Linked DNA regions of Ovis aries. The protein of the gene in region 1 purifies or fractionates together with the protein of each later gene. This does not show direct contact. Links are inferred from orthologs where the notes say so. Each region holds a gene or a part of one and is shown in the gene's direction. Other genes may lie near its edges. The genes, in order: DNM2 and DNMBP.

The links.
Region 2: the proteins of DNM2 (region 1) and DNMBP purify together in Homo sapiens (co-immunoprecipitation; 3 studies listed by BioGRID and IntAct, with this or other methods). This does not show direct contact. The link is inferred for Ovis aries from reciprocal best matches to the Homo sapiens genes DNM2 and DNMBP.

Annotation. Positions count from the first base shown.
Region 1 is NC_056058.1:13,045,595-13,049,840, forward strand, and holds the start of DNM2 (dynamin-2), read left to right. Parts: upstream 1-1,270; 5' UTR 1,271-1,433; coding exon 1,434-1,594; intron 1,595-4,246. UniProt on the Homo sapiens protein: Catalyzes the hydrolysis of GTP and utilizes this energy to mediate vesicle scission at plasma membrane during endocytosis and filament remodeling at many actin structures during organization of the actin cytoskeleton.
Region 2 is NC_056075.1:20,617,812-20,621,618, reverse strand, and holds the end of DNMBP (dynamin-binding protein), read left to right. Parts: coding exon 1-332; intron 333-1,564; coding exon 1,565-1,750; 3' UTR 1,751-3,278; downstream 3,279-3,807. UniProt on the Homo sapiens protein: Plays a critical role as a guanine nucleotide exchange factor (GEF) for CDC42 in several intracellular processes associated with the actin and microtubule cytoskeleton.

The DNA of each region.
Region 1 (4,246 bases):
GAGTGGGTTGCCATTTCCTTCTCCATGTACCTTGCTTCCCCCCAACCTTTCTCTTAGTATACTGTATCTCAAATTGTTTACACTTTAGTACATGAAAATTTACTCAATTTTGTTTATGGATTATAAACAGTATTTACTTAATGAGCTCCATGGATGAGCAGTTAGGGTATTTCAAGTTTCTGCCACCGTAGTCAAGGCTGCAGTGCCAAACACTGTCAGTCTTGTTGCTTGTCTCTGAGACCTGCAGTTCTGGGTCATGAAGAAGGCAATTCCACTCTGCCATTCTTTCACCCCTTGTTTCTCCATTCCCCTGTTACTGCCTGGCCCAGTCAGACTACTTCCCCACCTCCTTTGCTCCTAACTCCTTACTGAGCTACTTCTCTCTGGCTTAGTTTTCTGAATGTTGAGCTTTAAGCCAACTTTTTCACTCTCCACTTTCACTTTCATCAAGAGGCTTTTTCTTTCCTCTTCACTTTCTGCCATAAGGGTGGTGTCATCTGCATATCAAAGTATATTTGGACCTTCAAAATATGTTGGGACCCCGCGCAGGGAGCTGATTTGCAAGCTCGCGGCTAAGATGCATTTTGAGACTTGTAGTTTTCTTTAGAGCCCAGAAACACAAGTGACTATCAGCACTGAGTCCTACCACTAGGCGGCGCGCGTTGCCGCGTACTGTGAACCTATCCTCTGCTCCAGAAGACCCTACTTGACATACAACATTCACAAACTAGAACGGGGCGGGGGAGGTTTTTTGATGGACAGATACAGCTTTCAATCAGAGTCAAGATTTAGAAGTTAAATCCCACCCTCTTTGACTTGTTGGGTGATAGAAGGGAGTGATATTTATATAAACCAATGGGAAAATTTTAGGGAACTAAATAGAGTCAAGCGAAGAACCGATCCCTAGTATCATTGGCCAGCCTTGTTGATTGGTGGGTCTGCTTGCCAATAAGACTGGCGGATGTTCCTTCTATCCGGGAACACCCCCTAGTAGGCGGGGCCAACATGCCTTTTCCCGAAACACCGCCTCCCGGCCGAGACAACTCGCTTGCCGCTGCTATTGGCTCTTGCACAATAGCGACAGTTCTTGCGCCCAATGAATCAGAGAATAGGCCCCAGGGGGCGGGCTCATTCGGCAATCGGCCCGTGCCTCACTTTCATTGGTTTGTGTGCAGAAGTGACAGCCCAGCCGGCCAATCGGAGTTAGTGCGAGGATTTTTGGCGCAGCCCCAGGGCTCCGGCGGGAGGTCGGTCGGGTCGGGTGTCGCTTGAGAACCGGATGAGGCGGCGACCGTGAGGCCGAGCCGGGAGCGGGCGTCGCGCCGAGGCCCGGGCGGGCGGGGAGCAACGGCCGCGGACGCCGCGGGGCCGCGTCGTTGAGGGACAGGGGCGGGCGAGGAGCGCGGGTCGCTCGGGCCGGGGCCACCGGCGCCATGGGCAACCGCGGGATGGAAGAGCTGATCCCGCTGGTCAACAAGCTGCAGGATGCCTTCAGTTCCATCGGCCAGAGCTGCCACCTGGACCTGCCGCAGATCGCCGTGGTGGGCGGCCAGAGCGCCGGCAAGAGCTCTGTGCTCGAGAACTTCGTGGGCCGGTGAGCGAGCTCGGTGGCGACGGCGGGCGGGCGGCGGCCTACGGCGCGGAGGGCGGACTGGGAATGGCGCGCCCTGCGCCGCCGGCGTAACTGCGGCGCTTGCGTGCCCGCGACCGGGACGGGGACAGGGGGGCGGGCCCTGTGGGACGCCCTGAGTGGAGGGCTCCCTGTAGGGGCTGGGGAGCCGGCCCAGACCTAAGGGGTGTCCCACGCGCTGGGGGGCGTGGGCCAGGAAGTGCAGTGCAAGACCTCTGACTCTCTGGCCCCCAGCTCTAGTGGGTGAATTCTACCATCTGGTTGTCTGTCTGTCCTGAACCTGTCTCCTGGATATTTACTGGGCCGATCCCCGTGGTCTGGCCGGCTGCTCATTGATTTGGAGCAGTTCCTGTCGTCTGGCTTGCTGTCTCTCTGTCCTGGATAGGCTTCCCCGCCACCACCATTTGGCTGTCCATCTGTCCAGGACCGCAGGGCAGCTCCCTGCTGCCTGGCTAGCTAGCCAGAAGGCCCTGTCCTGTCTGGTTGCCCATCCGTGCCCCTCACAGACTTAGCTCTTCCTCTGTTGGGTTACCCAGCTGGCCTGTGCTGTCTGACTGGCTGGCTGGACCCTGGGAGACCCTGTTGTCTGGCTCTCCTGGGCTGCCTCTTCAACTTGGTGCCTGGCGAACGCTGGCTCCTCGCTTCCAAGTGGATCCTTTTGTCTCTGTGTCATGGTGTCAGTCCTTCTCGTCTCCCTGACCCCACTTCTGGGCAGGGGATGAGAGGAGCTTGCAGAAGAGAAGGGGGCTGAAGGGTGAGACTTGAACTCCTCTCCTTTGAATTGGAAGTAGGACCCTGGGGGGCAGACATTTTCCAGGAGTCTTTCCTGGCCCATGTCAGGTTGCCTGCAGGGCCCTGGAACATGGGGACCAGCCCCCAAGCCAAAGCCTGCATGGTGGGGATCCTCCTTGGATCCTGAGAGGAACTTCTGGCCCGATCAGGCTGCAGTGGCAAAAGCTTGGATATAGCCTTCCCTGGGAAGCCCCGAGAAGTTTCAGTTTGCCCATCTGTCCAGTGGACAAATTCCACTCTGGGCTGTTTCCAGGATTCACAAAGCCAATGGAGGAGAATGGGCCCTGTGGCCACTGAGGGTGGTTACCTCTCCCCTCTCCTCCCCCCACCTCTTTTCCTTCTGCCTCCCAGATGGGGGGCCACTTCTGCATTCTGGGAAGGACTCCATTTGCGACTGCGGCTGCCAGATGATAACGTCATGGCGGTTGGTAGTTTACTCGTGAAGTCCTGTGTCTGACTCTTTGTGACCCCATGGACTGTAGCCCACCAGGCCTTCTGGTCCATGGTATTTCCCAAGCAAGAATACTGGAATGGGTTAGCATTTCCTCCTCCAGGGGATCATCCCGACCCAGGGATTGAACATGTGTCTCCTGCATTGCTGGCAGATTCTTTACCGCTCAGCCAGCAGGGAAGCCCTGATAACGTCATAGTCATCATCATGTTCATATTGTTGTTGTTATCAGTGTTAAAGAGGTTCATCCAGCAGCCCCCAAGCTGACTTCTCTCTTGGTTCAGCTCAGAAAAGACTTGCTGTTTGCCCAAGGCCACCAGGCTGGCGCTCAGTGGAGCCCAGCTGGGTGCTCAGCCCCGCCCCGCCTTCACAGTGGCCTAGGGTTTTGCTCCCAGCGGCATGAATTTCCTCCTTTGCTGCTGTGTCCCTGGCGAAATGCCCTCTTTCTACTGTGGCGGAAAGGTGTGGACTTGGGATCAGCCCAGGCTGGGTCCCCTGCTTGGCCATCCTCCTGCCTACCCAGGCTTCCGGTGGGTGTCTGCAAAGCTCTGTCCATTTCATCTGCCTCGTGACCTTGCACAGGTTGTTTGACCTCTCTGAGCCTCAGTTTTCCCACCAGAAAAAGGGCTAATGGACCCTTAACAGGACTTGCAAGGATGTAGTGACACGGTGTGTTAAAAGTGCTTACTTAGCATAGTGCCTGGCACCTAGTGGGTCTCCTTGGAGGGTGCTGTTGCTCACTAGGCTGGTTCCGTTGTGGGTGTGTGTATGCTTAGTTGCTCAGTCGTGTCAGCTCTTTGTGAGTCTGGACTGTAGCCCTCAGGCTTCTCTGTCAGTGGGATTTCCCAGGCCAGGATACTGGAGTGGGTTGCTATTTCTTTCTCCAGGGGATCTTCCCTACCCAGGGATCAACCCTAGGTCTCCTGCTTTGCAGGTGGGTTCTTTACTGGCTGAGCCACCAGGGAAGCCCCGGTTCCTTTCATATCAATAACCAAAGCTAGTCAGAATTAAAGTGCTCTGAAGTTACACATTGGACTTTACTGAAGCCTCATGAGGCTGGCACCGCTATGATCCCATTTTCTAGAGCACAAAACTGAGGCCCAAAGAGCTGAGCATTCTTACAAGAGGTTGTTCAGTGAAGGATCAAGGTCTCTGGGTTGGGGAAACCCAGGGTCTCTCTCCCATCCCCACCTCTCATCGATCCCTCTGTCCCTCACTGTTCCCTCCCAGCCACCCTGGAACCTGGTGACTGCCAGCTGCTACCAAGCTGGCTCCTGTGGCAACCTCCTCCTGAGCCTGCAGCGTGGCATCCGTCATTATGGGCATTGACTCAGGGCTTGAGAACCAAAGCTGTGAAAAGGCCTCTCTTTGGA
Region 2 (3,807 bases), on another chromosome or scaffold:
AGCCTCCAGATGCATCTTCCCAGACAGAATTTGACCAAGGAACTCTCAGCGCATCCTTGAACTCAGAGGGCAGTCCTTCCAGATGCCCCTCGGACCCAGACTCCCCCTCCCAGCACAGGCCGTGGGACTCGGGCGATGCGGTCAGAGACCTTCCCCAGCCTGCCCCTACCCTGAGGAACTCCCGAAACTGCAGGCATCCAGAAATGGTTGGTTCCTCCATGTCAGGGCGTAACGGGCAGGGTCGAGACCTCCTAAAAGCAGGCGCAAGAACAGCACTGTCTCTGGATGACAGACATGAACAGCCAGAGAGTAGCGAGGCGGAAGGCAACCAGGTGAGTGCGCTCGGTTTCCATGGTTACTGCGCTGCGTGTGGATGCAGGTGATGAGCGCTCAGGAGTGGGCGAGGCCTGACCCGGCTGGGGGTGACCCTGGAGATGGGCCCACAGATAAATCCTTAAAGGATTTCCAGAAGCTCACTGCTGTGAGAGTGGGCAGCCCCAGTCTTCTGGACCTCCGGTGGCTGATTTCGCAGGCTGTAGTGTTGTGGGGCGTTTACCAAGTGTCACCATGAAGCTTTTCACACTCTTCCAATGCACTTCCAATGATTCTTCCATTGGTATAAAGTCTGCTGTTTAACTCATCTACTTAGCTTCTCATTCAAGTAACTAAATTTCTAGAATTCAGGAATAGAGTTCTGATTCTGTTTCAGTTTTTCCCGTTCTTTTTGTAATGGCCCCTTCTTTGTATCATAAACATTTTAAACCTACATATTTTAAAGCCACTTTCACATCCACAGCTGAGGAATCCCTGGCCACCTGCCCTTGCTCACTTGCAGCAGTGAGTCTCCAAGTGTGTCTTACCTTTGTTGGCGAGCTCTCTGTGGTTCTGACAAGCCCAGGACACACGCCCCAGCTCTGGCCCACCAGCGGGCTGGTGGACATGGACCAGGAAATGACCCTTTCTGAGATTCTGACTTTGTGCAAGGGTCTCCGTTCTGGCCTCATCAGCTCCAGCCCTTGAGCACCCTTGGGTGTGTGTTCACTGTGTCCCTGCGGGCCTCATGGTTCCTCCTCCTGATCACTGACCACCACCCTCACTTTGCATGCTAGCCCTGTTATGGGCACCTAGTGAGCACCCTTTCTTCCTTTGGGATTAGATGTGGGTTTTTTGTTGTTTTGTAAAGATTTTTAAATACAGAATTTCTGTGTATGAAAGAGCATCCTCATGTCTCATCTATCTTCCTTACTGGCTGAAGCTTTTTTTCCCCTTTTAAGGCAACTCTGAAAGAGTAAGTGAATTTTGGTTTTCTTTAAAGCTGTCCTATTCATTATGGTAGCCTTCAGCCATATTTAATTTACATTTAAGTTAGGTAAAGTTAAAATTTTAAATTAAGTCCTTTCACCTCACTGGCTGTTATTTCAAGTGCTCAGCTGCCGTGTGTCTAGGGGCTGCCAAATTGGATGGTCCAGATACAGACGGTACCCATCACCCTGGGAAGTTCTGTTGGGTAGCTTTGCTTTCAGATGTTTCCCATTTCCTAACTCACTTTCTCTCCCTCTCATAGGTCTATTTTGCTGTCTATACCTTCAAGGCACGGAACCCAAATGAGCTGAGTGTGTCAGCCAATCAGAGACTCAAGATCCTAGAGTTTAAAGATGTTACAGGAAATACAGAATGGTGGTTAGCTGAAGTCAATGGGAAAAAGGGTTACGTTCCATCCAATTATATCCGCAAAGCTGAGTACACCTGAGCCTGTTCTGCTTCCCACTCAATCTTGCTGCCTTCACTTCCTTCTGCTGAAGGGTTCTGGTATCCACCAAGAGGGCTCCTGCTCCTGAGACACTAGCCCTGCCACATTGCTTAATTGTGGCACAGTGGTGCATAAGTCTTGTTCTCTTTGATTGGGTTGTCAGCCTTGATGCTCACTAGAATCTCTAGAATTTGAAATGGACCTTGGTGCTTGCAAGTGATTCAGTGACCGTGAAAAGAGAAGCAAGTCCTGGGGTCAGCCTTTGGAAATGAGAAATTTCCAATCAGAAGACCAGTATCCAGTATATGCTAGAAGCTGTGCTATAGCATTAGAAGAAGTTGATGTTGGTTGTGCCATATTGAGTGGGGTGGCCCCATGCTCCGTGATCAACTGACTGGAAACCAACTTGGATGAATTCTCTGGGAGCCCTTTCAGGCTGTGCCTCTGCATGTGGCAAGAAGTTTGTCAACATTGTACCAAATCTGATGTTTCAAAACCTCAGTGTCTGGCACATATTTGCACACACACCCCTTATTTCTAAACATCCCTAAAACACTGCCATCTGTAATCTTTTTCTTATTTATTTCACCACATTTCCAGATTGGGCAAAATTCAACTATTGAGTCAGCTAAAAATGTTCATTTGGGTTTTTTTGTAAGATCCAATGGAAAATCCCAGACGAACTTTCTGGCCAACCTAGTACTTCTTTCTCCTCTTAAAAAATGTTTAGAATCTTCCTTTCCCCTGAACTTTGACATGAAAGGTTCATTTCCCATTAGGTGCTATCCTCCACACCTTGCTGACACCATCTCTATACTGTCTGTGTACAGTAATTTTTCCTGGCTTCTTTCCTGAAGCTGAATAGCTGATAGACTTTCTTGAGAGAACGGGATCGGAGCTCCCACTGTTCCCTTTGGGGGATTCATTCTGCAGTGGGCTGAAGCCAGTCCAGCCCAGAGGGAGGCTGGATGCCTCTCCCCTTCCTCCACACTACTGTCCACAGATGAAGAGACCATAATGCACGTTTATCTCATTTGAATCTGGGTAAACAGTCCAGAAGTAGCTTATCCTAGAGTTGGAAATAAGCGTTCTCTGTTTCATCAGCCCCCGTGCTTCAGAGACCGTGGTCTAAGCCAAACAGAATCTAAAGTGCCTGATTGTACCTCCTCCACCTCAGGAAGATGTTTCCTGATCCTAACACTAAGATTCCCCCCTGAAGTTTGTATGTGAGCAGGGCTCTTATTCTTAAGGTCTGCCCCAGATTGAAAGCCTGCCTTGGAACAGGAAATCATGAATTTTGTCTTGCAAGAAAGGGCATAAAGAACAGCTTACAGCCCTTGCTCCTCCAAATGCACCTTCACCTTAAAGTCATGAGTCAGGAGACACCCGGGGGCTCCTTGGCCACCCCGGGGTCTGCTGGTCAATCAGAAGGCAGCAACGCAAAAGTATCTCGTGAATAGTGTTTATACCTAGAGATGTTTATATTTAAGTAGTTATTTTATAAATAAAAGCATTTCAAGGGCCATAAGTATGTTTTCTTGATTTTCTTCCTGGTTTAGCCTGAACCTTCTTATGTTTCTGGGGGTACCTTCTTGACGATTCAGTGATGCTCAGATTTTAAGAAATGGGAGAGGCTTAAGTGAAGAAACTCAGGTCAGGAATTCCTTTTCAAATATGATTTCAGCAGAAACACTCTATACTCAAAATACGTCCATGCTGCATTTTAAGCCATTTCGTGCAGTAAATCCTAGCAGAACAGAAGAGCTGGGAATTCTTGAGAGGTAAGTATTTCGCAGCCATTATAGATGCGGAAACTGATGCACTAGTGCTGAGCTAACATAGAGTCAGACCGCAGCTCAAGCCAGGTTGGGTGTTGGGAGGGAGAAGTAGCAGGAGCGCTGGCCAAGGGGGTGCCCATGAAGCAGTTGCCTGAGGCTGTTAAGGAATAGAGAACGTGGGTGAAAGGTAGACTCTGGAGAGAAAGCTTACAGGCCAGCGAGGCTCACTTATTTTACGAAGAAGGAAGATGGGGTCCAGTGACATTGTGACCTGCCCAA